Oryctolagus cuniculus: one gene and its partners. The protein of the gene in region 2 interacts with the protein of the main gene of each other region in a biochemical or structural test. Links are inferred from orthologs where the notes say so. Each region holds a gene or a part of one and is shown on either strand. Other genes may lie near its edges.

The links.
Region 1: the proteins of DLG1 (region 2) and MAPK12 interact in a test that uses a peptide from one of them, tested with the Homo sapiens proteins (2 studies listed by IntAct, with this or other methods). The link is inferred for Oryctolagus cuniculus from reciprocal best matches to the Homo sapiens genes DLG1 and MAPK12.
Region 3: the proteins of DLG1 (region 2) and PTEN form a complex in vitro, tested with the Homo sapiens proteins (2 studies listed by BioGRID and IntAct, with this or other methods). The link is inferred for Oryctolagus cuniculus from reciprocal best matches to the Homo sapiens genes DLG1 and PTEN.
Region 4: the proteins of DLG1 (region 2) and ADGRA2 form a complex in vitro, tested with the Homo sapiens proteins (2 studies listed by BioGRID and IntAct, with this or other methods). The link is inferred for Oryctolagus cuniculus from reciprocal best matches to the Homo sapiens genes DLG1 and ADGRA2.
Region 5: the proteins of DLG1 (region 2) and TMEM178A interact in a test that uses a peptide from one of them, tested with the Homo sapiens proteins (2 studies listed by IntAct, with this or other methods). The link is inferred for Oryctolagus cuniculus from reciprocal best matches to the Homo sapiens genes DLG1 and TMEM178A.
Region 6: the proteins of DLG1 (region 2) and GUCY1A2 interact in a test that uses a peptide from one of them, tested with the Homo sapiens proteins (2 studies listed by IntAct, with this or other methods). The link is inferred for Oryctolagus cuniculus from reciprocal best matches to the Homo sapiens genes DLG1 and GUCY1A2.
Region 7: the proteins of DLG1 (region 2) and CTNND2 interact in a test that uses a peptide from one of them, tested with the Homo sapiens proteins (2 studies listed by IntAct, with this or other methods). The link is inferred for Oryctolagus cuniculus from reciprocal best matches to the Homo sapiens genes DLG1 and CTNND2.

The regions. Positions count from the first base shown.
Region 1 is NC_091442.1:123,206,753-123,209,067, reverse strand, and holds part of MAPK12 (mitogen-activated protein kinase 12), read left to right. Parts: intron 1-770; coding exon 771-882; intron 883-969; coding exon 970-999; intron 1,000-1,253; coding exon 1,254-1,301; intron 1,302-1,711; coding exon 1,712-1,826; intron 1,827-1,993; coding exon 1,994-2,065; intron 2,066-2,162; coding exon 2,163-2,242; intron 2,243-2,312; coding exon 2,313-2,315. UniProt on the Homo sapiens protein: Serine/threonine kinase which acts as an essential component of the MAP kinase signal transduction pathway.
Region 2 is NC_091435.1:83,523,395-83,526,894, reverse strand, and holds part of DLG1 (disks large homolog 1), read left to right. Parts: intron 1-874; coding exon 875-1,047; intron 1,048-3,500. UniProt on the Homo sapiens protein: Essential multidomain scaffolding protein required for normal development. Recruits channels, receptors and signaling molecules to discrete plasma membrane domains in polarized cells.
Region 3 is NC_091446.1:42,723,183-42,726,682, reverse strand, and holds part of PTEN (phosphatidylinositol 3,4,5-trisphosphate 3-phosphatase and dual-specificity protein phosphatase PTEN), read left to right. Parts: intron 1-1,042; coding exon 1,043-1,228; 3' UTR 1,229-3,500. UniProt on the Homo sapiens protein: Dual-specificity protein phosphatase, dephosphorylating tyrosine-, serine- and threonine-phosphorylated proteins.
Region 4 is NC_091433.1:87,659,262-87,663,531, reverse strand, and holds the start of ADGRA2 (adhesion G protein-coupled receptor A2), read right to left. Parts: upstream 2,801-4,270; 5' UTR 2,403-2,800; coding exon 2,140-2,402; intron 1-2,139.
Region 5 is NC_091433.1:163,090,557-163,094,056, reverse strand, and holds part of TMEM178A (transmembrane protein 178A), read left to right. Parts: intron 1-1,108; coding exon 1,109-1,246; intron 1,247-3,500. UniProt on the Homo sapiens protein: Acts as a negative regulator of osteoclast differentiation in basal and inflammatory conditions by regulating TNFSF11-induced Ca (2+) fluxes, thereby controlling the induction of NFATC1.
Region 6 is NC_091432.1:98,475,020-98,478,519, reverse strand, and holds part of GUCY1A2 (guanylate cyclase soluble subunit alpha-2), read left to right. Parts: intron 1-2,055; coding exon 2,056-2,541; intron 2,542-3,500. UniProt on the Homo sapiens protein: Has guanylyl cyclase on binding to the beta-1 subunit. Isoform 2 acts as a negative regulator of guanylyl cyclase activity as it forms non-functional heterodimers with the beta subunits.
Region 7 is NC_091445.1:41,181,238-41,185,396, reverse strand, and holds the start of CTNND2 (catenin delta-2), read left to right. Parts: upstream 1-1,359; 5' UTR 1,360-1,607; coding exon 1,608-1,827; intron 1,828-4,159. UniProt on the Homo sapiens protein: Has a critical role in neuronal development, particularly in the formation and/or maintenance of dendritic spines and synapses. Involved in the regulation of Wnt signaling.

The DNA of each region.
Region 1 (2,315 bases), on a different chromosome or scaffold from region 2:
CCCTCCCAACATGTTCCTGGGACCCTTGGGCACTGGAACACCCAGACACAGCCCGGGCCTCCTCCTCCCTCCACCCGCAGCACCTGGGCCATCGCCGGTGCTGGAGGTGTGAACCCTGTTAACAGGCTGGTCCCGTGCTCTGGCCCCAGGCACCAGGCGTGTGGCCTGTAACTGGAGCTGCTGACCTTTGCCGGTGGGTGGAGGAGAGGTGGCAGGGAGCGGCCATCCCGGCCTAGCACTGACCAGGCTGCTTCCGGCTCACGTTGTTCTCAGCTGGGAGCAGGGCCAGGCCTGCGGAGGGCTGCGGAGGGCAGCGGGCTCCCTGTTGCCTGACATGCCAAGGGTGGGTCCCCGAGGCCTCAGCGTCTCCTGGGGTGCTAAGTGGTGACTTCCCTCCCTCGGCCTGCCCAGCCCACCCCTCTGGCCACCACCCATCTCGTCCTTCCCCGGCCCCTGTGTGTGAAGCTTCCTGCCCCCTTGTCTTCAACACTGTGCCTTTTAGACGAGAAATCAGGAGCCCCACAGTGGGTGACATTCAGGGTAGGCTGGGTGGGATGTCTGGGGGGAGGCGGGGTCATTGCTGGGAGCGACAGGGAGGTCGGGGAAGAGAGGACTCGACCGAAGCCAGCGGGGACCAGGTGCTGAGGGTCACCTTCTGAGGGGCATCTGTCGGGCAGAGTCCTCCAGGTCTGAGCCTGAGCCCATCGGGTGGGACCCCCGGCTCCAGGGCCCGGCCCTGGCGGGTGACTGCATCCCAGCCCCACTTCCAGTTACCTGGTGATGCCGTTCATGGGCACCGACCTGGGCAAGCTCATGAAGCACGAGAAGCTGAGTGAGGACCGCATCCAGTTCCTGGTGTACCAGATGCTGAAGGGGCTGAAGGTGGGGCACCCGGGCAGAGCAGGGCGGGGAGGCTCTGTGGCCCTGAGGCCCTGGGACGCTGACCCCTGCTGACCCCTCTGTCTGCAGTACATCCACGCTGCTGGCGTCATCCACAGGGTGAGTCCTGGCTACGGCCTCCAGAGGGGCCCAGTCCCGTCTCCACTGCTCACCCGTGAGGGGGTGCGGTGGGCTTGGCGTGGTGCACACGACACCCCATGCATTGCTGCTGGGAACGTGTCCTGGGGACCCAGGCACCTCTGCTCTCCTGGACGGGCTGCAAGGGCCAGGGAGGCTGGGTCGGGCCTGGCGGCCCCTGTGTGGGTGCCGTCCAACGTCGGGCCTCGCAGTGGCCACCTGTCCTCTGCCTGCAGGACCTGAAGCCCGGCAACCTGGCAGTGAATGAGGACTGTGAGCTGAAGGTGCGAGGGCCAGGGGCCTGGGGGGGGGGGCTCCCTCACCATCTGCCCCCAGCCTGGCACCTGGGCAGGGGCTGAGCAGCTAGCTGGTGGGCGAATGGGCCCTGGGTGGTCCCTGAGGGGGTGGCATCGGGCACGACGCCCCCATACCTGCGTCAGGGCGAGCGTGGGAGGTGTTCCCAGTCCCCATGCCTGACCCAGGGCGGGGCTGAGGAGGCCTCCAGGAAGACGGGCAGGGGTTGGCAGAGCAGGGAGAGGAGTCCAGGGCCAGAGCTCCCGGGTACTCCCAGGGAGGGACCCTGGGGTGGTGCTTGCTGCCTTGGGCCCAGCCCCCTGGGGGTCTCCCGGACCATGGCTGGCCTGTGCATCCCTTAGGGGTCCTCTTAGTCCCATCTCTCTGATTCTTCCCACAGATCCTGGACTTTGGCCTGGCCAGGCAGGCTGACAGTGAGATGACTGGCTATGTGGTGACCCGGTGGTACCGGGCCCCCGAGGTCATCCTGAACTGGATGCACTACACACAGACAGGTAAGAGGCCACCCAGGGACACGGGGGCCTCCCAGACCACACCGCTTCGCTCCATGGTGGAGGCCCCGCCCCCCAAAAGCTGTGTGTTCTGGCGGAGCCGGGTGAGGGCGTGGGCCTGTGCTACAGCCCCTTCCTCCACCCCGGGTGCTGATGGGGTCTCGTCTCAGTGGACATCTGGTCGGTGGGCTGCATCATGGCGGAGATGATTACGGGGAAGACGCTGTTCAAGGGCAGTGACCGTATCCTCAGTCGTGGGCTGCCTGGCGGGCGGGGCCGGAGGAGGTGGGTGTGGCTCCTGCTCCCTGTCCCCTGTCGTGCTCCTGAACCCCAGTGCAGACCTGGACCAGCTGAAGGAGATCATGAAGGTGACAGGGACGCCTCCGGCCGACTTCGTGCAAAAGCTGCGGAGCGCTGATGTCCGTATGGAGCTGGGCGGGTGAGGCCAGCTGGCCTGGGGGCTGCCCCTCACCCTGTCTTCCCTGGCAGGCC
Region 2 (3,500 bases):
GACAGGCAGAGTGGACAGTGAGAGAGAGAGACAGAGAGAAAGGTCTTCCTTTGCCGTTGGTTCACCCTCCAATGGCCGCCGCGGCTGGCGCGCTGCGGCCGGCGCACCGCGCTGATCCGATGGCAGGAGCCAGGAGCCAGGTGCTTTTCCTGGTCTCCCATGGGGTGCAGGGCCCAAGCACCTGGGCCATCCTCCACTGCACTCCCTGGCCACAGCAGAGGGCTGGCCTGGAAGAGGGGCAACCAGGACAGAATCCGGCGCCCCGACCGGGACTAGAACCCGGTGTGCCGGCGCCGCTAGGCGGAGGATTAGCCTAGTGAGCCGCGGCGCCGGCCTGTAAATATAATTTTTAACGGTTTATACCTGGGCCGGCGCCGTGGCTCAATAGGCTAATCCTCCGCCTTGCAGCGCCGGCACACCGGGTTCTAGTCCCAGTTGGGGTGCCGGATTCTGTCCCGGTTGCCCCTCTTCCAGGCCAGCTCTCTGCTGTGGCCAGGGAGTGCAGTGGAGGATGGCCCAAGTCCTTGGGCCCTGCACCCGCATGGGAGACCAGGAAAAGCGCCTGGCTCCTGCCTTCGGATCAGCGCAGTGTGCCGGCCACAGCGCGCTGGCCACGGTGGCCACTGGAAGGTGAACACACGACAAAAGGAAGACCTTTCTCTCTGTCTCTCTCTCTCACTGTCCACTCTGCCTGTCAAAAAAAAAATGGTTTATACCTAGTTATTTTATCAGTTACTGCTTCATCCTCCATATTATTGTACTTTTCTAGATTTAAATTAAACTCTGGAACTTTATAAAACAATTATTTCAGTAGAAAATGAGTTTATTATGTTTTTTAATATTAAACACTTCCCTGAGTTCTTTTCTGTTAAAGATACAACTAGACCAAAACGAGATTATGAGGTAGACGGAAGAGATTATCATTTTGTGACTTCAAGAGAACAGATGGAAAAAGATATCCAGGAACATAAATTCATTGAAGCTGGCCAGTATAACAACCACCTGTATGGAACAAGTGTTCAGTCTGTGCGAGAAGTAGCAGAAAAGGTAAGCATCACATGAATGCAGAATATGCTGTTCATCAGATATGCCTTTGACAATATGAAAGAATTACAGAAACTTCTAGTTCTTACTTAAAAGGATACAAGATGGATGATAGATTGATTACTTTTAATTCATTGAACTAAGTAATTTTAGGTGGTTTAGAAAAAGACATACAAGTTTACATACAAGATAAAATAGACCAAAAAAAAAAAAAATGGGAGTAGAAAGAATAGCACAAATCTAAGAGGGGCAGTTGTTATTTTAAGACCTTTTGCTAGAGACAGACCTGTCTTTGGTCCTAGCTTTCCAGCATTTCATGTAATTGAGGAACTAAGATCTGCAGTATCCAACAATAAAAATTATTGAAATGTTCAAGATAAATGTAGTTGCTGCTGGTATTGAGATTAGACAAAAGTTTCTCCTCTGAGTCTTCATTTAAAAGACAATATAGGCCGGCGCCGAGGCTCACTAGGCTAATCCTCCGCCTAGCGGCGCCGGCACACCGGGTTCTAGTCCCGGTCGGGGCACCAGATTCTGTCCCGGTTGCCCCTCTTCCAGGCCAGCTCTCTGCTGTGGCCAGGGAGTACAGTGGAGGATGGCCCAAGTGCTTGGGCCCTGCACCCCATGGGAGACCAGGAAAAGCACCTGGCTCCTGGCTCCTGCCATCGGATCAGCGCGGTGCGCCAGCCGCGGCGGCCATTGGAGGGTGAACCAACGGCAAAAGGAAGACCTTTCTCTCTGTCTCTCTCTCTCACTGTCCACTCTGCCTGTCAAAAAAAAAAAAAAAAAAAAAAAAAGACAATATAGCCAGCGCTGCAGCTCACTTGGCTAATCCTCCACCTGCAGCACCGGCACACCGGGTTCTAGTCCCGGTCAGGGCGCCAGATTCTGTCCTGGTTGCCCCTCTTCCAGGCCAGCTCTCTGTTGTGGCCCGGGAAGGCAGTGGAGGATGGCACAAGTCTTTGGGCCTTGCACCTGCATGGGAGACCAGGAAGAAGCACATGGCTCCTGGCTTTGGATTGGTGCAGTGCGCTGGCCGTAGTGGCCATTTGGGGGGTGAACCAACAGAAGGAAGACCTTTCTCTCTCTGTCTCTCTCCTTCACTAACTCTGCCTGTTAAAAACAAACAAACAAACAAACAAACAAAAAAACACCATATATATATGGTGTTCGATGGTGTGGCATAGCAGATAAAGCCACTGCCTGCAACGCCAGCATCCTATTTAGGTGCTAGTTCAAGTCCTGGCTGCTCCACTGCCAATCCAGCTCCTTGCTGCTGCGCCTGGGAAAGAAATGGAAGATGGCCCAAGTGCTTGGGCCCCTGTACCCACATGGAAGACCCGGAAGAAGCTCCTGGCTTGGATTGGCGCAGCTTCTGCTGTTGCCGCCATTTAGGGAGTGAACCAGTAGATGGAAGTTCTCTCTCTCTCGTGTGTGTATATATATATATATATGTGTGTGTGTGTGTGTGTGTGTGTATACATATATATATGTGTGTGTATGTGTATATACACATATATGTGTGTGTGTGTATAATCTGACTTTCAAATAAATACATGTTTTTTAAAAATTACAAAGACAGTATTGGACAGGTGTTGTGGGACAGTAGGTTATGCCACTAGTTGGGGATGCCCACATTCCATACCAGAGTGCCCAGGATCAAGTTCCACCTCCACTTCCAATCCAGCTTCCTGCTGTTGTGCCTGGGAGGCAACAATGATGACTCAAGTACTTGAGTCTCTGGCATTCATGTAGGAAACCCAGATGAAGCTCTGGGCTCCTGGTTTCAACCTGTTGCACCTTGGCTGTTTTGGGCATTTGGAGAGTGAACCAGCATGTGGAAAATCTCTCTCATAGCTCTGCCTGTCAAATAAATAAAAACGAATAAACATTAAAAAAAAGAATCTGACTTGAACAACAATATTAACATTTAAAAAAAAAAACAGGAATTCACAAACAACAGCAATAGACTTTCTGAAAGCATCTTTTGTAGTCATCTGGTGAAATGGTGACACTGGGTTAAAAGTTTTATAGTGAAGCTAAATCAATGTCATAGTGCTGTTTCTTAAATCTTTGGGCCTAGAAAATAAACATTGTATACCTTTAAAACTTAGAGTTTAAGTCTCAATTATGAAATAGCTGTAACAAAACATAAAGCAGTAATAAGTTTCCCATATATAAATGCTACTTTTCTAAAAGAAGTTTGTTCTAATTTAACATTTTTAGAAAAAGTGCATATGTCCCAGAAGTGAAGACAAGGACTTGAGAAAATGGAAATTTTTAGGTAGTTGGGATATAAATGAACATAACTTCCTTTGACAACAGTTGGGCAATACCTAATAAGTGATTCAGAAATTCTACTTATTCATGTCTAGGTATACATATATCCACAGTAGCACCTTATAATGTGAAAAATTGGAATCAACAGAAGGGAATGGATAGTCAACCCTCATTTA
Region 3 (3,500 bases), on a different chromosome or scaffold from region 2:
AAGTAGGAAAAAGGGGGCAAGACTTTGGAGATAGCTCAGAGGCTGTTAGAGCAGTTTAGTTTTGGGAGAGTTAGTAATTGTTTGGACATAGAATAGTGATAGTGAAGGTAGCTGTCAGATTGGTATATGTGATATTTTGAAAGTAAAATTACAGGATTTACTGACAAAGTGGATGTTGGTATAAGAAAAGAATTGATAATGACTCTTGAACAATAGGAGAGGGTCTATAGTTAGAATGAGCAAGGGATCTGGAGTCAGATTCAATTAAATATCACATATCCATACTTACTAGATATGTGGCCTTTTGCAAATTCCCTAACCGTCCCAGGCCTTGGTTTCTTTTCCTTTAAAATTGAAAAAACTAAAATGTGGAGTTGTTTAGATTGATTAGTTTGACTATACATGTTAAGGCTCTTGGCCCACTGTTTAGACAACATATGATGTTAACTTCCCTCTCCTTTCCTTAGGTGAAGTTTTTAGAGCTAATGGATCCTGAGTTTCACTATTGATCAGTATTTTTTATGTTTGTTTAGTATTGTTAGTATGGAAAAATACTCTGAGTTTCAGACAGGTATTAAGAGAAACCATTCTTGGGCCAGGTGGCCTTGTGATTAAGCTGCCAGTTAGGATGCCTGCGTCTCAGAGTGCCTGTGTTAAGTCCCACCTCGACTTCCAATTCCATCTTCCTGTCAATGTGCACCCTGGGAGGCAGCAGTAACAGTTCAAGTATTTGGGTCCCTGCCACTTCTGTGGGAGTCTTGGGTTGAGTTTGTGGCTTCCAGCTTTGGCCTGGCCTACTCTTCTTCATCATGGGTATTTGGGGGAGTAAACCAATGGATGGGGGCTCTGCTTGTCTCTGTCCTTGTTTCTGTCCATCTGTCAAATAATATTTTTAAAACAGAAAAAAAGAAACATTCCTTTGGAACTCAACTATTTTTGAATTGAATTTTATGATTGAAAAATTAAAAATATGTCATCTAAATAATTTAAGATTAATCATATTTGTGGATTTTCATTTTAAAGTTTTCTCTTCTTTCTCTAGGTGAAGCTGTATTTCACAAAAACAGTAGAGGAGCCATCAAATCCAGAGGCTAGCAGTTCAACTTCTGTAACGCCAGATGTTAGTGACAATGAACCTGATCATTATAGATATTCTGACACCACTGACTCTGATCCAGAGAATGAACCTTTTGATGAAGATCAGCATACACAAATTACAAAAGTCTGAATTTTTTTTATCAAGAGGGATAATGCACCATGAAAACAAACTTGAATAAACTGAAAATGGACCTTTTTTTTTAATGGCAATAGGACATTGTGTCAGATTACCAGTTATAGGAACAATTCTCTTTTCCTGACCAATCTTGTTTTACCCTATACATCCACAGGGTTTTGACACTTGTTGTCCAGTTAAAAAAAGGTTGTGTAGCTGTGTCGTGTATATACATTTTTGTGTCAAAAGGACATTTAAAATTCAATTAGGATAAATAAAGATGGCACTTTCCCGTTTTATTCCAGTTTTATAAAAAGTGGAGACAGACTGATGTGTATACGTGGAAATTTTTCCTTTTGTGTTCTGTCACCAATTTAAGTGGCTAAAAGAGCTTTGTGACGCACAGGTTCACATCCTACCCCTTTGCACTTGTGGCAACAGATAAGTTTGCAGTTGGCTAAGAGAAGTTTCTTAAGGGTTTTGTTAAATTCTAATGCATGTATTCAGGTAAGGGGAATGGAGAGAATGCTTAGAAAGGAATCTTATCTCATGCTGGACTCTGGACCATATACCATCTCCAGCTATTTACACGCACCTTTCTTTAGCATGCTATAGTACTAATCTGGACATTTGAGGATTTGGCCACTGTCACTGCTTGTTGTTTGTGCATTTTTTTAAAAAGCATATTGGTGCTAGAAAAGGCAGCTAGAGGGAGTGAATCTGTTTTGGGGTACAGGAATGAACCTTCTGCAACATCTTAATCCACAATGAAGGGATATAAAAATAATGTGGTTATAGATAGGAAACACAGCAACAATGACTTAACCATATAAATGTGGAGGCTATCAACAAAGAACGGGCTTGAAACATTATAGAAATTGACAATGATTTATTAAATATGTTTTCTCAATTGTAATGACTGCTCCATCTCCTGTGTAATCAAGGCCAGTGCTAAAAGTCAGATGCTATTAGTACCTACATCAGTCAACAATTTATACTTTATTAGTTTTCAATCATATACCTGCTGTGGATGCTTCAAGTGCTGCCTGCAAGCTTCTTTTTTTCCTCATTAAATATAAAATATTTTGTAATGCTACACAGGAAATTTCAATTTGAGATTCTACAGTAAGCGGTTTTTTTCTTTAAAGATTTATGATGCACTTATTCAATCCAGTAGCTGTCAGCCGTCCCACCCTTTTGACCTTACACATTCTATTACAATGAGTTTTGCAGTTTTGCACATTTTTTAAATGTCATTAACTGTTAGGGAATTTTACTTGAATACTGAATACATATAATGTTTATATTAAAAAAAAGACATTGTGTTAAAAAGGAAATTAGAGTTGCAGTAAATTTCAACACTGCACAAATAATAAGGCATATAATTGTTCAGTAGAAATTATCCAACATTTGCTTTATTGATTTGCTATTGAAAGAATAGATTTTTTCATTGTGCAGTGTTGAATCATTTCATAGTGCTAGAGTTGGGACTAGGGCTTCAATTTCTTAAATATCATCATTTATTTGATATTCCCAGACTGCATATGATTTCAAGCAGAGTGCAACTAATATTGTGAAGGTAATGAGAAAAAACTATGAAAAAGGATTTTTTTCCCCAGGAATTTGGTGTCTTTCAAATTATACCTTGACCTTGACATTTGAATATCTAGCCATTGTATTTCTTAATGGTATAAAATCCCATTTTGAATAACTTATTGGTGCTGAAATTGTTCACTAGCTGTGGTCTGACCTAGTTAATTTACAAATACAGATTGCATAGGACCTACTAGAGCAGCATTCATAGAGTTTGATGGTAAATAGATTAGGCAGAACTTCATCTAAAATATTCTTAGTAAATCATATTGACTTTTTCCATACCTCATCAGTTTCACTCAACCAATAAAATTTTTAAATTTTTAACAAAGCTCTTAGAATTTACATGTTTATATTTAAACATTGATACATAGAGTATTGACTGCTCATAAGTTAAATTGGTAAAGTTAGAGACAACCATTCCTAAGATCTCACCATTGAAATTTGTATATCACCTTGTCTTTCATAAGAGCTGAAAATTGTTGACTAAAATGAAAATCAGCTATTCATGTTTTGAAGATATTAATACTGTTCTTTGTTACAGTTTTGGGCACAGCATATTAAAATATAACTTGTATTGTTCCAGTATGTAACATGGAGGGCCAGGTCATAAATAATGACATTATAATGGGCTTTTGCACTGTTATTATTTTTCCTTTGGAATGTGAAGGTCTGAATGAGGGTTTTGATTTTG
Region 4 (4,270 bases), on a different chromosome or scaffold from region 2:
GGTGGAGGAAGGGTTTTTGGGAGAGGAAAGCAAGACTGTCCACCACATCACCTCTGACCTCCTGAGGGCCTTCCCTGGGCAGCAGCTTCTACGCGGGCACAGTCCCCAGGCTCCGACACTCCCACTCCGTGTCTGCCGGGCTGCCCAAGGTGGAACCCCAAGGATTCATGGGTCTGGGGGTGGGGAGCAGGGCGAGAAGGGGTCCTCAGTGGAGCACAGGGGACGAAAGATCCGCCAGGCAAAACCCACGCTGCCTCCTGCTTGGCCCTCAGACTGCAGGGCGGGCAGGATGCATGGAGGGGGGTGAGAAGGGGCTTCTCAACTGAGTACCCTGGGGGTCTCTTCCCAGCTAGTGGTGCCCTGGGTATCCTGGCAGCTAAGAGGCATGTCCACAGCTGGGGCCTTCGTCACACTCCGGGCCCATGGGCCAGCGGGCTCCCAGGGCTTTCCCGGCCAGCCCCGAACACGGTCCCTGTGGGACTGTCTGCCCAGGCTCAGGGGAGCTGTTGCTTTGCAAGGTCCTGGAGCAGCTGGGTCCCCGGCCTGGGAAGAGCGAGGGACAGGAAGGCAAGGGAGGAGTCCAGTTCGCTGCCACTGTGTCACCGAGAGTTGGCCCCAGACTCTCCTCGGAGCAGCGGCAAGGGGAATTAGCTGTAGCTGGAAAGCATTAGGGGCCAAATGATTCTAAGATGTACTGCAAAAACCACCTTTCGCCCCCCCCCCCCCATCTGCCTCTGCTATGTCAGGATTCCAGCAAACAGAGACAGCATCCCACACATGTGTGTGAGGACAGCCACAGAGCGCACGCACACACACATGTGCACATGCACACACACACACCCACTCAAGGCTGACTGACTCTGGCGCAGCCGGGACGTACGGAACCAGCCCGGCCATTCCACCGCAGCCAGCATTTTTCTCCCGCAGAACTGAGTGGGCTGAGGAATGCCCAGGCTTGCCTGGCCCCTTCAACACCAAGTGGGCGATCACAGGCACCCGGCCTGGGCAGCCACAGGTGGCAGCTCCTGTGGGCGATCGCCAGAGCCCTGCGCTGCTGGAGCGAGCCGACGGGCGGCCTCCACCCCCCGAGGCGCACACGCACACGGACAGCCCAGCCGCGGAAAACGCAGGCCAGCGGCCCACGTCAGAGGCTGACCAGTTGCGTCCTGTCAGGAAGCGCGCAGCCTCTCAGCGCCCCCAACTAGAGGCGTTCCCGTATTGTTCTGGACACAATCGAGCGCACCGAGCCAGCCCCGACTGCGGGCACGGGGCGGTGGAGACACCGGGGCCACCGGGGTCAGGGGGACGGGGCAGGGGAAACGGCTGTGCGGCTAGACCGGGGACGGGAAAGGAAGGGGTCGCCTGGGCCCCCCGGCCGTCCCTACTCGGCGCGCGCGGAGCTCCCAGCACGTGGGCGGCGCGGGCGGTCGCGCTGCGGGGGAGGCGAGGGGTCGGCCCGCGCGCGGGGCCACGCTCCCTCGCCGCCGGCGAGGCCAGGGCTGAAGGAGGCCCGGGCCGCGATGCGAACTGCGGAAGGAGACTGGCAGGCGCCCGCCTCCCCTCAGCCGGGTTTCCCTCTTCGTAGGGTTTGCGCGGAGTCAATCCAGACAGAGCCAGCGCGGAGACATTTCCAGGCGAGGGCGAGAAGGGGCAGAGGGACGCAGGCCTCCCGCAGGGCTGAGCGCCCGCATTCCAGGGACCGGCTTCTCCGAGCCCACCCTCCGCCCGCCCCGCGGAGACCCGGCCGGGAGCGCGCTGGTGCGCCCAAAGCCGTACGGGCTGTTCCGGATCGGAGGAGCCGGACCCGCCCGGTAAAGCCGGGTGGAGTCCCCCTGTCGGGTCCGGGACGCGGTCGCCTCCTGGGCCGCGGGCGTCGACCTTGCCAGCTCCCTGTCTCTCAGGTCCCGGAAGGGTGAAACCTTAGCCCAAGCTGGACACTTGGGGAGCGTGGGCGTCCCGTGAGCGCACGTGCCGCTTCACCTGTGCAGGTGAGCCGGCGCCTGCCTCCCTCCACCCTCCTGGAGTCCCCGTCTCCCCCCAACCCAAGTCTCCCTGCTTGGCGCTCGGAGTCAGACCCGGGAGGTGGGGTCGTCCGTCCCCGGCCCTCCGCTCGCCCACCGGTGCGGATGAAGTACTTACAGGGTCACGGTGCCGTTAGGCAGCAGGCCGGGCTCCGGCGGCTCCGGGAGATCCCCGCCGCCGCACACCACCCTCCTGCGCGCCGGGTTGGGGGCGCCGCTGCTCAGTCCTTTGGGCCGCTCCCCCGAGCACTTGCAGCTGCGGATGGGGACCGGGCAGCCCGGCGCGCCCCGAGTCGCGGGCGCCAGGAGCAGCAGCCACGGCAGCAGCAGCAGCAGCAGGCGCGCCGGCGCCCCCAGCATCCTGCGTCCCCAGGCGCCCATCAACCCATCGCCCCGCGGGGACCCACAGCGCAGGGGCCCGGCTGCGCGCCGGCGGGAGGGACCCGGGCGTGCGCGACGCGCGCTCAGCGGGGGCCCGGGACGCCCGGGGGCGGGGCGGGGGGCCCTGCGCGGAGGCGAGCCCCAGGGTCCCCGGCGCCGCGCCCCGGGGGCATGTCCTGAGAGCGCCCCGGCGGGGAGGACGCGGGCGCGGCTGTCAGCGCCGCTTGGGCGGCCCTCGGCGGCGCGGCCCGGCTCCCGGCGCAGGGCTCGGGGGCCGCGGGACGCCCGGCCTCTCCGCGTCGCCTGCTCCCGCAGCGCTGCGCTGGGACCTAGCGGATCGCGCCCGGCTCCTGCCGCCGCCGCCGCTCCGGGCCATGGATGGAGGCAGCCCGGCGCCGCGCCGCTCCCGCCGCCGCCGGCCCCGCCCGCCCTCCGCTCGCCGCCCACCCGTCCGCCGGGCCCTAGCGCCTCCCGACGCGCCCAGGCCCCGCGCCGGCCCGAGCCCAGGCGCCCGGACCCCCACCCCCGGCGCGGACCCTTTCCCCGCGCCGCGCCCCGCTGACCTCCGCGCCCGGAGCCGTGGCCTCCCGCGCTCGTGCTCGACCGGCCTGCGCCCCGCGCCGCCGCGGCCTTTCCTCTGCTCTGAGGCCGGGGCGTAGCGTCTGGGCTTGAACTTGGCCCTCGGCGCCGGGGTTCGCGCTGGCCCCTGAGCTGACCAGCCGGCCTGGGGGTCGGCTCCGTCTCACGGCCTCGGGCCCGCCCGCAGGCTCATCCGAGGCCGCCGCCGGAGGACGCATGCTGGGGACCGGGCTGCAGGGACCTCGCCCGGAGAGGGCAGTGACCTCCACAGCAGGGGGTGCCTGTCGCTCGGGCCGGGCAGGGCAAAGGCCGCGGCAGACCCGGCTGGATCTGCCCTCCTACCTTTTCGACCTCCCTGTGGGGTGTGTGGTGTAGTGTGTGGTGTATGTGGTGTGTGGTGTGTGTGGTGTGAGTGTGTGGTGTATGTGGTGTGTGTGATGTGTGTGTATATGCGGTATGTGAGTGTGGTGTATGTGTGTCTCTGTGGGGTGTGTGTGTGGTATATGTGTGAGTTGTGGTATGTGAGTGTGGTGTGTGGTGTGTATGGTGTATGTGTGTGGTGTGTGTGATGTTTGTGAGGTGTGTATGTGGTATGTGTGTCTGTGGTATATGTGTGTATGTGTAGTGTTTGTGTGTGTGGTGTGTGTGTGGTATATGTGTGCATCGTGTATATGTTTGTATGTAGTGTATGCCTGTGGTGTATGTGGAATGCATGGTATATGTGTGTGTGGTGTGTGGTGCATCTGTATGTGTATGTGATGTGTTTGTGTGGTGTGTGTGTATGTGGTGTGTGGTGTGTCTGTGTGCATGGTATATGTGGTGTGTGTGGTGTATGTGTGTGGAGGGTGTGTGTGGAGGGTGTGTGTGGTGTATGTGGTGAGTATATGGTGTATGTGGTGTGTGTGTGTGTGGTATATATGGTGTATGTAGGGGTTATGTGTGGTGTATGTGGTGTGTGATGTGTATATGTGTGTGTAGTGTGTCTGGTGTATGTGGCGTATATGATATGTGTGTGGTGTGTGAGTGTGTGTGGTGTGCATGTATGTGTGTGGTGTGTCTATGGTGTGTGTGATGTGTGTGTCAGGTGTGTGTGTCTGTGGTGTGTGATGTGTGCATGTTGTGTGTTGTGTATGTGGTGTGTGTGATGTGTGTGTGGTGTGTGTGATGTATATGTGAGTGTGTGTATGTGTGTGTTATATGTGTGTGGTGTGTGTGTATGTGAGTGTGATGTGTCTGGTGTGTGTGATGTGTGTGGTGTGATGTGTGTGTAGTGTATGCAATGTGTGTAG
Region 5 (3,500 bases), on a different chromosome or scaffold from region 2:
TAAGAGCAAGATTGATGCTACTGTAACCCATTCTACATGCACCCATAAGAAGCCCAGGAGCTGCTCAAACCTACCAGGAGGCAGCTGCCTGGGCTCTTCCACACTTCAAAGGGTGCAGCATGTGCCTTGTCTTGGCTGCAGGTGTGCGTGGCTCACGTGCATTTGCCCAGACTTGTTGCCTGGCCTCAGGGACAGCAGATGTATGTTTGGGATCTGCTGCTTCAAAGAGGATCATAGACATTTAGCTAATAATTTTTCAAGTTAGTTTCATTCTTAAAGTAAAAAGGGGAGAAAGGAAGTAGAACAGAAAAGTGATGGCCAGCAAATGGATAATACAAGTGTTATTTAGCAATTGGAAACAAAGTGTCCAAATACCTGTAGCCAAAATTGGCAATACACAGGACAGGACAGTTGGGTACCCGGGGGAGACTTGTCCAAAGGGACCAGTTCCTTCCTCAACCTGGTTAAAGGATGTTTGTGCTGAGGGACCCATATTTTAGGGGAGAGGGTACTTATGAGTAGATGTGTAATGTGTGCACTTTGGGTCACTATTTCAGTCACCACAGTTGCCTTCACTTTCTCAAATCCTTTTTGACCATAGGTAAGAGTAGATGTAAATAAAAAATGAAATGATTGGCATCCATGGTGCTTAGATAAAATCCTGTTTCACTATGGCTCAGGTTTTAGGCTCTTTCTCCAAAGCCAGATGCCTTTTAGACACAGTGGTATTAGCCTACATTTCTATTACTGTTTTTAAGGCTAACAAAGGCATTTCTCAAACCTTCCTCCCTCACAGTGTATTCAGTAGCTGTCTGTCTATTACCCAAGTTTCCCCTGGGGTTGTCTTATTATCTCTTCTCTAATGACATGAATTTCTCCGTGGACTGACAGAGGGTAGACTGTGGTCCCTCCATCAGTTACACCCTGTTTGTCCTTTTGTGAAATACCAGGGAGGAGAATTCCCTAAACCCCATCACCCTGCAGGCCCTCAGCCTGTCTGTGTAACTTAACTAATTTTCACAATGCATACAGCGCTCTTTATTCTCTGATTGTCAGTACCTTTCCTGTCTCTTCTGATTTTGAATGTGTGTTTCTGTTTCTAAACTAGATTTGAGAAGAATCACTGCTGGCTTCCTGGGCATGGCGGTAGCCGTCCTTCTGTGTGGCTGCATTGTGGCCACAGTCAGTTTCTTCTGGGAGGAAAGCCTGACCCAGCATGTGGCTGGACTCCTGTTCCTCATGACAGGTACGCTGCACACCTCGGGCCGCCTTTCTCTGCCAAAGTGATGGCTGCTGTGTCTTCGGCCGACTTCACTTTGTCACCTCCCTGTTAAAGTTGCTTCCAACTGTGAGAAAAGCAAGCAGAAGGTCATTTAGCTTGGGTGGGTAATTTGGAATTTCAAGAAAACAACAAAAATGCAGCCCTGCTATCCCCATTGTGGTCTGCTCTAGGTTAGATGGAGGTGTCTTGGATTTAATCTCTGTCTGAGACAGGTTGGTATTTTTCAGTTTTTCATTGCTTACCAGGAGCTCTCCTGGGGAGAGAAGCTGATAGATTATCCTAACCCATTGCTGACTAAAAGTCACCTCAGTTCTGGTCTTAGTGATGGTGTCATTGGCAGCATTTCTATCTACAGGGTTACTCCCAAAAGTTCATGGAAAATGGCACCAAAAGATCTGTTGACCTTGATGCGCGAAGATAAAATAACTTGATGGTATGAATGGAATGTGCTGCCTTGCGAATCACTGAGCACTGGTTGCTCATGGCGCATGTCATCGTATGCATTTCCCATGAAACCTCTATTCAATCCCTTCCACAGTTAGTTCCTTGAGGACTGGAGGACTCGGGCACTGCTCTGTGTGCTAGAGACACACAATAAACGGGGCAGGCAAAATCCTTGTCCGTTTTTATTGTGGGGAGACATACACAATGATTGGTGATGCCGGGAAAAGCTGTGAGGGAATCGGATGAAATAGGGACTCAGAGAAAGCTGTCTTGAGGCGACAGTTTCTGAGGTTCGTCCCACGAAGCAACCGGTCATTGGGAGCGTGCTGTGGGCTGTGGAAGCCACCAGTGCCAACCCAAAGGCCAGGAGCATCAGTCAGTCTGAGCTATGAGAAAAAGAGCAATGGGGTTGGAAGGGAATGGAGCGAGGGATCCATCACAGTGGAAGCAGCAGGCAATGCCTGAATCTTTAGTGCATTCTTGGCCACAGCGAAGAGCCTGGATCTGACACTTAGGGTGATGGAAGCCACTAGAAAGTTTTAAGCAAAGGAGTAACTTGACTCCAATCAAGAGATTGGAAGAGGGGTATGGAGATGTGGTCAGGGTGGTTTTGATGAACAAGTGAAAGATTTTTGTCTAAAAAGGAGTCAAGAGTGGAGTTGATGGCTAATGCTGACTTAAGGGGGCTATAGGAAGAAATCTTTGCTTCCTGTTCCTCCTTCACAAAAATTAGTAAGTGATTAGACGTTAGAGAACTACATTTCACAAAGCAGACGCAGCCTCAGCCCGAGTGCCACCCTGGACAGCCATTTCTCATCTGCCTGTTTCTGGCTCCCCAGAGTGCTGGCACTCAAGGGGCTTGCTGGGGCTCTCTACACTCGGCCCTGTAATCAAGCCTGGGTTAACCCGAGGTGGTGCTACCCGGCAGGACGGACACCACCTTCTGTCTGTCTCTCAGGGCTGGCAGGGAGGTGACACTTCTCTCTCTGGGCTGTTCGTCCCCGCTGTGGCCTCACCTCACCCATCACAGGCAGGGGCTGTGCTTTCTAACTCCCATTCCCACTGGCCCCACAAGCACTCCTTGATATGGTGCTACCACTGTCAGTGACATGGAGTATGGTCGTCTTTGCAAGCATCCCAACAGAACATTCAGAAATCTGGGGGCCCTGTTTAGTTGTGAGCAGAAAAACAGCTTAGCTTTTCTGGATTTTGGTGAATACATGGTGGCTACCAGGGCTGTAGCAAAGGGAGACTAAAATTTTAGTTCCTGGGGCCAGCGCCGTGGCTCACTTGGTTAATCCATCCTCCCATATGGGTGCCGGATTCTAGTCCCGGTTGCTCCTCTTCCAGTCCAGCTCTCTGCTGTGGCCGGGAGTGCAGTGGAGGATGGCCCAGGTGCTTGGGTCCTGCACCCCATGGAAGACCAGGAGAAGTACCTGGCTCCTGCCATCGGATCAGCGTGGTGCGCCGGCCGTAGCGGCCATTTGGAGGGTGAACCAACAGAAAAAGGAAGACCTTTCTCTCTGTCTCTCTCACTGTCCACTCTGCCTGTCATAAAATAAAAAAAAAAAAAAAATTAAAAAAAGAAGCACCTGGCTCCTGGCTTCAGATCAGCGCAGTGCTGGCCATAGTGGCCATTTGGGGGTGTGAACCAACAGAAGGAAGACCTTTCTCTCTGTCTCTCTCTCTCACTGTCTATAATTCTACCTGTCAAATTAAAAAAAAAAAAATTAGTTCTCGAGGTTTTGGGAGAGGATTTAAACTCTCAAAACCA
Region 6 (3,500 bases), on a different chromosome or scaffold from region 2:
TAGTCTTACTATCCAGAGTGCTAGTAGTAGAAGGAATGCTCTCAAAAGAGAGAGTGTTGTGCACAGTGGGTTAAGTCACAGCTTGGGAAACCATATTTGATACCAGAGTGCCAGTTCCAGTCTAGGCTACTCTACTTCTGATATGTGTTCCTGCTAATGCACCCTGGGAGGCAGCAGATAATGGGCTCAATTACTTGAGTTTCTGCCAACCATGTGGAAGACATGAATGGATTTAGTGGTTTCTGGCTTTGGCTTGGCCCAGACCTGCTATTGTGGCCACTTGGGAAGTGAACCAGCAGAGAGCTCTTTGTCTCTGTCACCCTGCCTTCCAAATAGGTAAATAAATAAATCACTTTTCTTCCAAAAAAAGAAAAAAAGCACTCAATGACATCAGTGAATAACTGAACTGTGAATAATTATAAATAAAGCCTTATAAATAAAAGGGTGAAATACTGAACTTTAGCAGAAAACTTACATAAAAAAGTAAGCATTTATTTTATTTCAAAAAAATCCATAAAATAAATCAAGGATTCAATTTTATTTCCTGATGGTAATTGTTTTAGGCTGGGGGTTGATGTTTTGCTCATAGCATCACATGTGATGATACCTGGATTTAAGTCCCAGCTCCCTCTTTCCAATTCCAGCTTTCTGATAATGTGCAGCCTTCACCCTGGGAAACTGCAGGTGATGGCTCAAGTACTTGGATTTCTGCCACCCATGTAGGAGATTTGGATTGTATTTCCGGTTCCTGGCTTCAACCTGACCCAGCCCTGGATATGTTTGGAGAATGAGCCAGAAGATTAAATACTACTTTCTGTCTCCCTCCCGATCTCTTTCTGCCTTTCAAATAAATAAAAATTATATTAACAAATGGGGTATTGTGAACAAAGACATGCTTGCAGGCTTAAACGTCCAAATTCCTGTAGTTGGCCCCGTATTTGCTCTCTGCCTCCAATTTCATCAGCTGGCCTAACTTTATGCTCTAAAGAATAAAGGAAAACAAATGTATTGAGCACATTTGATGTGATAGTGGAAAGCCATTCAGGTGAAACTAATGCAGTCTCAGTTGGCCAACTCTTAGCTTGTCCTTTCCTGGGAGTAACAACTGGCTTTCCCTCCAGGTGTGCTGAAATACCTTATGCTGGCCTAAATAACTGTATATGAAAGGTCATATCCTAAGCCTGCCTTCCTTTCCTACTGATGCTCATCCTCTCTGAACATGTTCACCATCCCATAAACTTGCTAGTTAAACTAAGTTTTCCATTAAACAATTTGCTAAATTTCTCACAGAAAGGACACATTAAGAGGGATAGATTAAAATGAATAATGTTGGATTGTTTATCTTGTTAGCTGAGTTCCTTCTGTACTATTCAAGTTTTTTAAATTTATTTTTAGATTGTAGTGATATGCTAGATGGGTGAGTGATAATTACTTTCCAGCTTAATGATATGTGGCTTAAATTTTCATTTTTAAGATTGAAATCAAGCAAGAAATCAATTAATTGACTAAGTATTCACCAGTCTACTCAATGCAATAAACATTGCATTATCCAAGGGTTATATCTGGTGGAAAAATGACTTCCATGAGGCATAAGAATTATTTTGACTCATTTCAATCTCTTGAATTTTTTTCTGAAAGGAGTTTTTTTAAATGACAAGTAAATGTAGTTATTTTGACAGATAGATTTATCTTAATTCTATTATTATTAAGCTAAAAGTTTTTAATTTGCCTCATAAACCAGTTTCAGGGTATACCTGAGAATAATTTCATCTTAAATAAGAAACGTTTTCCTTGAATACTTTCATCTTGAATAAAAAATGTTTTATTGCTCTTCCACTTTGCTATTTTCTTTAGAAAGTGGCTGAGATGCAAAAATATTTTTTGAAACATGAAGTTTACACTGCTGTAAATAAGATTTAAGTATACTTACATCAATGTAGTAAGTCAGCATAGCTAATAAAACATTTCCTGTCTTCCTGTTACCACACAATGCATTAATTTTTGTGAATCTACTATTTGAAGAATACTGACCAAAGCTCCATGTTCATGTTGCAGGTGATGGAAGTCAAAGGACAAATGATCCATGTCCCAGAGTCAAGCTCCATTTTATTTTTGGGATCTCCATGTGTGGACAAGTTGGATGAACTCATGGGCCGAGGACTACATCTCTCTGACATTCCTATTCATGATGCCACCCGAGATGTCATTTTGGTTGGTGAGCAGGCAAAGGCTCAAGATGGCTTGAAGAAGAGGATGGACAAATTAAAGGCAACTCTAGAAAGAACTCACCAGGCCCTGGAAGAGGAGAAAAAGAAAACAGTGGATCTTCTTTATTCTATTTTTCCTGGAGATGTAGCCCAGCAGTTGTGGCAAGGGCAGCAAGTGCAGGCCAGAAAGTTTGATGACGTCACCATGCTCTTCTCTGATATTGTTGGCTTCACGGCCATATGTGCCCAATGTACACCCATGCAAGTGATCAGCATGCTGAATGAACTGTACACCAGATTTGACCACCAGTGTGGATTTTTGGATATTTATAAGGTAATGGAGCTCAGTTAATTGTATATAGATATTATTTAATAGTAAATTGTCATCTAATTAAATTGTGAGTATATGTTTTCATTTGATAGTAAAAAAAAATCAGCATTTTTGTAAGTTAGAATTCTCTCTATAGAATTCATGTTTTTTTTTCTTTATGAGCATTTTTTTTTGGTCAGTTTATGGCATGACATAAGAAACTGTGAATCGGGCCAGCACCACAGCTCACTAGGCTAATCCTCTACCTGTGACGCCGGCACCCCAGGTTCTGGTCCCAGTCAGAGCGCTGGATTCTGTCCCAGTTGCTCCTCCTCCAGTCCAGCTCTCTGCTGTGGCCTGGGAGTGCAGTGGAGGATGGCCCAGGTGCTTGGGCCCTGCACCCGCATCGGAGACCAGGAGGAGGCACCTGGCTCTTGGCTTCGGATCCGCGCAGCGCCGGCCGTAGTGGCCATCTGGGGGGTGAACCAACAGAAGGAAGACCTTTCTCTCTGTCTCTCTCTCTCACTGTCTAATTATGCCTGTCCAAAATAAATAAATAAATAAAAAGATATAGCAAGTTATATTTAAATATGCATGTATTATTAGTTAACTCACACCTAACAGTATTTTACACCTAATTCTCAGTTAAGCCAGATCCCATTAATTCTAAACTAATATATGTAATTATTCTAATTATTGTGCCAGTGACCATTTTTTGTGGAAGTATCTTCATTTTCATATGTACATGAATGGGAAAGTTTTAAAATGGTTGTTAACTATTACTTGCTGGTCTGATTATCAAACTTCCTTTTAATTTCTTATTAAAATCAAAGCAATGTTTTGAGTGATTCAGTCCACATGTCTACCTGATGCATAGCTGCAATTCTGCATATGCTTTCACATAGATTACACAATGTCAGGGTACATGGCTTTTTATGTGAACAACAGCAAGAAGAAACAATAGTGAACCATAGGTGTCTATA
Region 7 (4,159 bases), on a different chromosome or scaffold from region 2:
TCCTTTGGGCTGGAAGTTCACAGAATTCTAGACTCACAACCGGAGTCACTTTGTTTAAGGACGTCTCAGGACCCGCGACAACACGTGGCCCCAGAACACTGGAGGCGATGGGACCGGGCAGGTGCCGGGACCCCCTCTCTGACCCATGCCATGGCTTCTGGCTCTAGAACCCCACGACCTGCCCGGAGACCAGGGCCACCTCCAGCAGGCGCGTCCAGCCCGCTCCTCCCCGGCCCCTAGGCACACGAGACCCCCGCACCCCTTCCCCTTTGTCTGCAGGCCGGCATCTGCCCCATCAGAATCAATGCCAGTATCTGGCACCTGCAGAACCGGGGTTCTAGCCCTTCTCCGGGTCCCCTGCATCCCCCCGGCTCGCGCCCAGGGCGTGCGTTCCCAAGGATGCGCGGCCCTCTCCCAGCCCGCGGCCTCCTCCCCTCTCTCCTGCGGCTGCCGCTGCCGCTGCTGCCGCGAAAACCAGAAGTGGAGCGCGCGCGGCAAAGCGCCGCGCTCTCGCGGCGGCACTGGGCATGCTCGGCACCCAGGGCAGGTTTCGGCGGCGGGGCGGACGCTTCTACACTAGCCGGGCGCCCGAGCCGGCCGCGGAGGCATAGGTGGAGGCTGAGGCTGCTGCGCGCCGCGGGAGGAGCCTCGCCCTCGGCGGCGGCGGCGGCGGCGGCGGCACAGGTGGCGCGGGCCGCGCGCGGGGCGCAGCACGGGAGCGCTCGGCGCCGGGCGCCGCGGCGGCCCCAGGCTCGCGCCCGCGGCGGTAGCCGGCCGATCAGAGCGGCGGGCGCGGCGGCGGCGGCGGCTGCTCCTCTACCAGCCCGGCCGGCCCTCCGCGGCAGCGGCGCCCGGAGCCCAGAGGCGCCCCGAGGAGCGCGGGGGAGCCCGCGGAGTCGGGCAGGGGGCGCTGCGCTCGCCGCGCTCGGAGGGGCCGCCGGGCCGGGCGCTGCGCACTCGCGTCGGGAGCCGCCTCTCGCCCGCGGCGCTCGCCCCTGCTCCCCGCCAGCATCGCCTGTCCCGCGGCCGCGCTCAGACAACAAAAGCGGAAGATGCCGCAGTTGGGCAAGGTCAGGACCTTGCCCTGAAGCCGGGCGGCGGCGCGCACGCCTTTCCCCGGACGGGAGGAGCTGTCGCCGGTGGCGGGTGCATGTTCGCCAGGAAGCAGCCGGGCGCCGCGCCGTTCGGTGAGTTGCCTTCTCCGGGCTGCCGGGGCCGGCGCATCTTGCGCCTCGGCGTCTTCCTCCTCCTCCTCGCCGCCCGTGGGGGTTGGCCCTGGGCTCCCGGCCGGCTGGCGGCGGCGGCGGTGGCTGCTGCGCGGTGCTGCCGGCCGCGGGCGCGCCCGGTCCCCTGTCGGCCGACGGCTCTGCCCGGCGCGGGGTCCAGGGCAGGTGCGGTTCTCGGAACGGTTACCGAGTGGCTGTTGTGCGTGCGCCGCCTCCCTGCCACCCATCCGCCCCGAAGGAGGCGTATATAGGGCAACCCGACCATCCTGCTCCCCGCCACCCTCCAGAACATACCCGTGGCATTCATGACGTCCCTAATATACGAGAGAAGACGGGTGGGGGTGGGGAGGACCTCCCTCGCGTCTCCTGCCCTTATGCTCAATGTCATTACGATGTTTGGCTAGAACAAAATGGAAAGACTTGGTCCTACGCGTCCATGGCCGAGTCTTGCGCCTGCCGCCGCCCGCCAGACCGCGAGTCCCTTTTGGTCTATATTTAGCGGCTTCGGGGGAAGCCTTTGCAGCTCGATTCACAGGTTTCGGGAGCTCGCGCGTCCTGACAATAGATCGTGAGGCTCTGGAGAGCGGCGCGCGAGACCCAGGTTTGGGGAAGCTGCGCGCGAGCCTGGGCGGTGCGCGATGCGAGATCTGGGCGATCCGTAATCAATGGCTGAACGCGGCGCTGCTGGGTTTGCTCCCCGACCTTCCTCCTCCTCTGGGGTGCGATGGGTTTCCTGGGCTTGCTCCTCGGCAGCTTTCAGCCACCGCGTTCAGAACCAAGTCTAGACACGGGGGGTGCAGCCTCTCTGGTCTGCGTGGTGGGGAAACAGACTTGGGAATTTTTAGGGTGTGTGTGTGTCTGTGCGTGTGTGTGTGTGTGTGTCGTTCCCACAAAGAACAGTTACTTCCCTAATGCCCAAAGTTGTGTTTCGCTGCAAGTGTGGGGGTGGCGAGGGGTGTGGAAGCCGAGAGAGGAGCAGGTTGCGGGTTCCCTGCCTGGAAAAGGTGCCTCCTTTTGAACTGATGGGATTTGCTGTGGCTCTGAGAGGGGTTGTTCACGTGCATGTCTGATGTTCTGGAGCAGCTAGGTTGGCTCTGAACAGAGATTTGTTTGAAGCATAGAATTGGGCCTGGCTGGCATAGATTTTCACTTTGTGGAACTATGGGACCAATATTTAATATGCTGGGAGTTTTCTGTAACGATTTCCCTGAAAATGAGGAGGTGCCGGAACTACCCGGGAGTTATCTCATTGTGCGCCTTCCATCATCGGTAGCTTAGGTTAGTGGTGGTAGGTCAGTTAATCTCTGCTGTTAGTCATTCGCCTACATAATTGAAAGGCTTCAGAGCATGCCACTTCTAAAATCCCATGGAGAAGTGTTTGATAGGAATTAGAGGGATGAAGCTGTGCATGATTGGGGAGCTTTGCTATAGAAGTATGGCAAATAAGGGAGAGTGTCTTCATATCTGGATTGATTGCTTTGAACTGTGCTGAAATCTCTCGTTAACGTATCTTTGCCATATGCAGAATCCATTGCTAATGTTGTTGGAAGACCTGTTAGGTGATATCCATAGTGGTCTGTGGATTATGAGATGTCAGGGCTTGAATGAATATGATTGCATTCAGAATTTGCTGCTGAAATTTGGGAGGCCCTATCATGATAGCAAAAACAAGTTAGTGCTGCAGAATGATCAGCCAGGTCTCAAGTGGCTCAAGTTAACAGAACACTGGTTAGTTTCACCAATATTGCATTTGTTTCAACTTTATCACATTCAGAGAACTTTCCTAGAGCACTTCAGACATTGTTGTGTTCCTTGCATTCTTTAAATATAAAATATATTTCAAAAGAAGCCATACATGATAGAGACATTCATCTCTTGTTCTGTTTTTCCCCATTTGACTCTAGGGTTTGTTTTAAATGATTCTTAAAGGACCAGTTGATATTGCTCTGTGCCTGTGTGTGCACCAGAGAGCTGTTGATGGACGTAATTAAAACTAGATGTGCATTTTACGTTTTATTTAGATTGAAAATGCTAGTACTGGACTGAGTGGCAATTGTAGTAAGTACAAGATTGTTTGCTCTAAAGACATTGTTGTAGCCTTGCAGAAAGTAGTTACTTAATTTGGTGTATGTCTGTAGTTGTATGGCTCAGTTTTTACAGATGTCATGGATGTTTTCACTATTTGTAATGAGAGTCATGTGCTATCAAATTATGATATTTCCATCCACTTCATATCTTTGCCATAGAACAAAAGCCAATTCTTTCCCCCAATGAAATTGTTCATCAGACAGGAAAAATGAAATTCAAATTATATTAGTTGGAAAGGACAATTTATAGTTTTGTGAAGTAATTTCTCTGGATAGTATCCCTTCATAATGACCTCTAAAATTAAAAATGAAATAACAATATTCTCAAATATTGCATTACTTCTAGCTATAGTTAAATATGCAGTACTTTTTCCCTGAAAATGTTATAGAACTTGCTGTTTGTTGTGCTTTTAAATGGTATGTACTTCTGTGGAATTGCTGCGATTTTGCAGTGTAGTTTCATAAGGTGTCCTTGCATAAGAAAGTACCAGTTACATCTGAAACAATGTATATGTACTTTGTATTGGCCATTATGTTTCTAGTTGTAACTAGTTGCAGTCAATTGAACTAAAATATACTGTTACATTTTGAATATCCGAAGTCATTTTTTTTTCTTCTTCCCTCATGATTAGCCACAAAAGAGGTGAACTTCCAGTTATGGTTGTTTCTTTTTGTGGACTTTTTTTTTTTTACTTTTTTTTTTTAGAGGGAAATTGGTGATGCTACTATCACTTTCCAACATAGATCTTATGAAGGATTCCACGTGGTTGAGAGTACTTAAACTCGAATGCCATAATTCAGACATTGAACAAAAACCATGAATTAACTGGCAGTTAGTTCTAACTT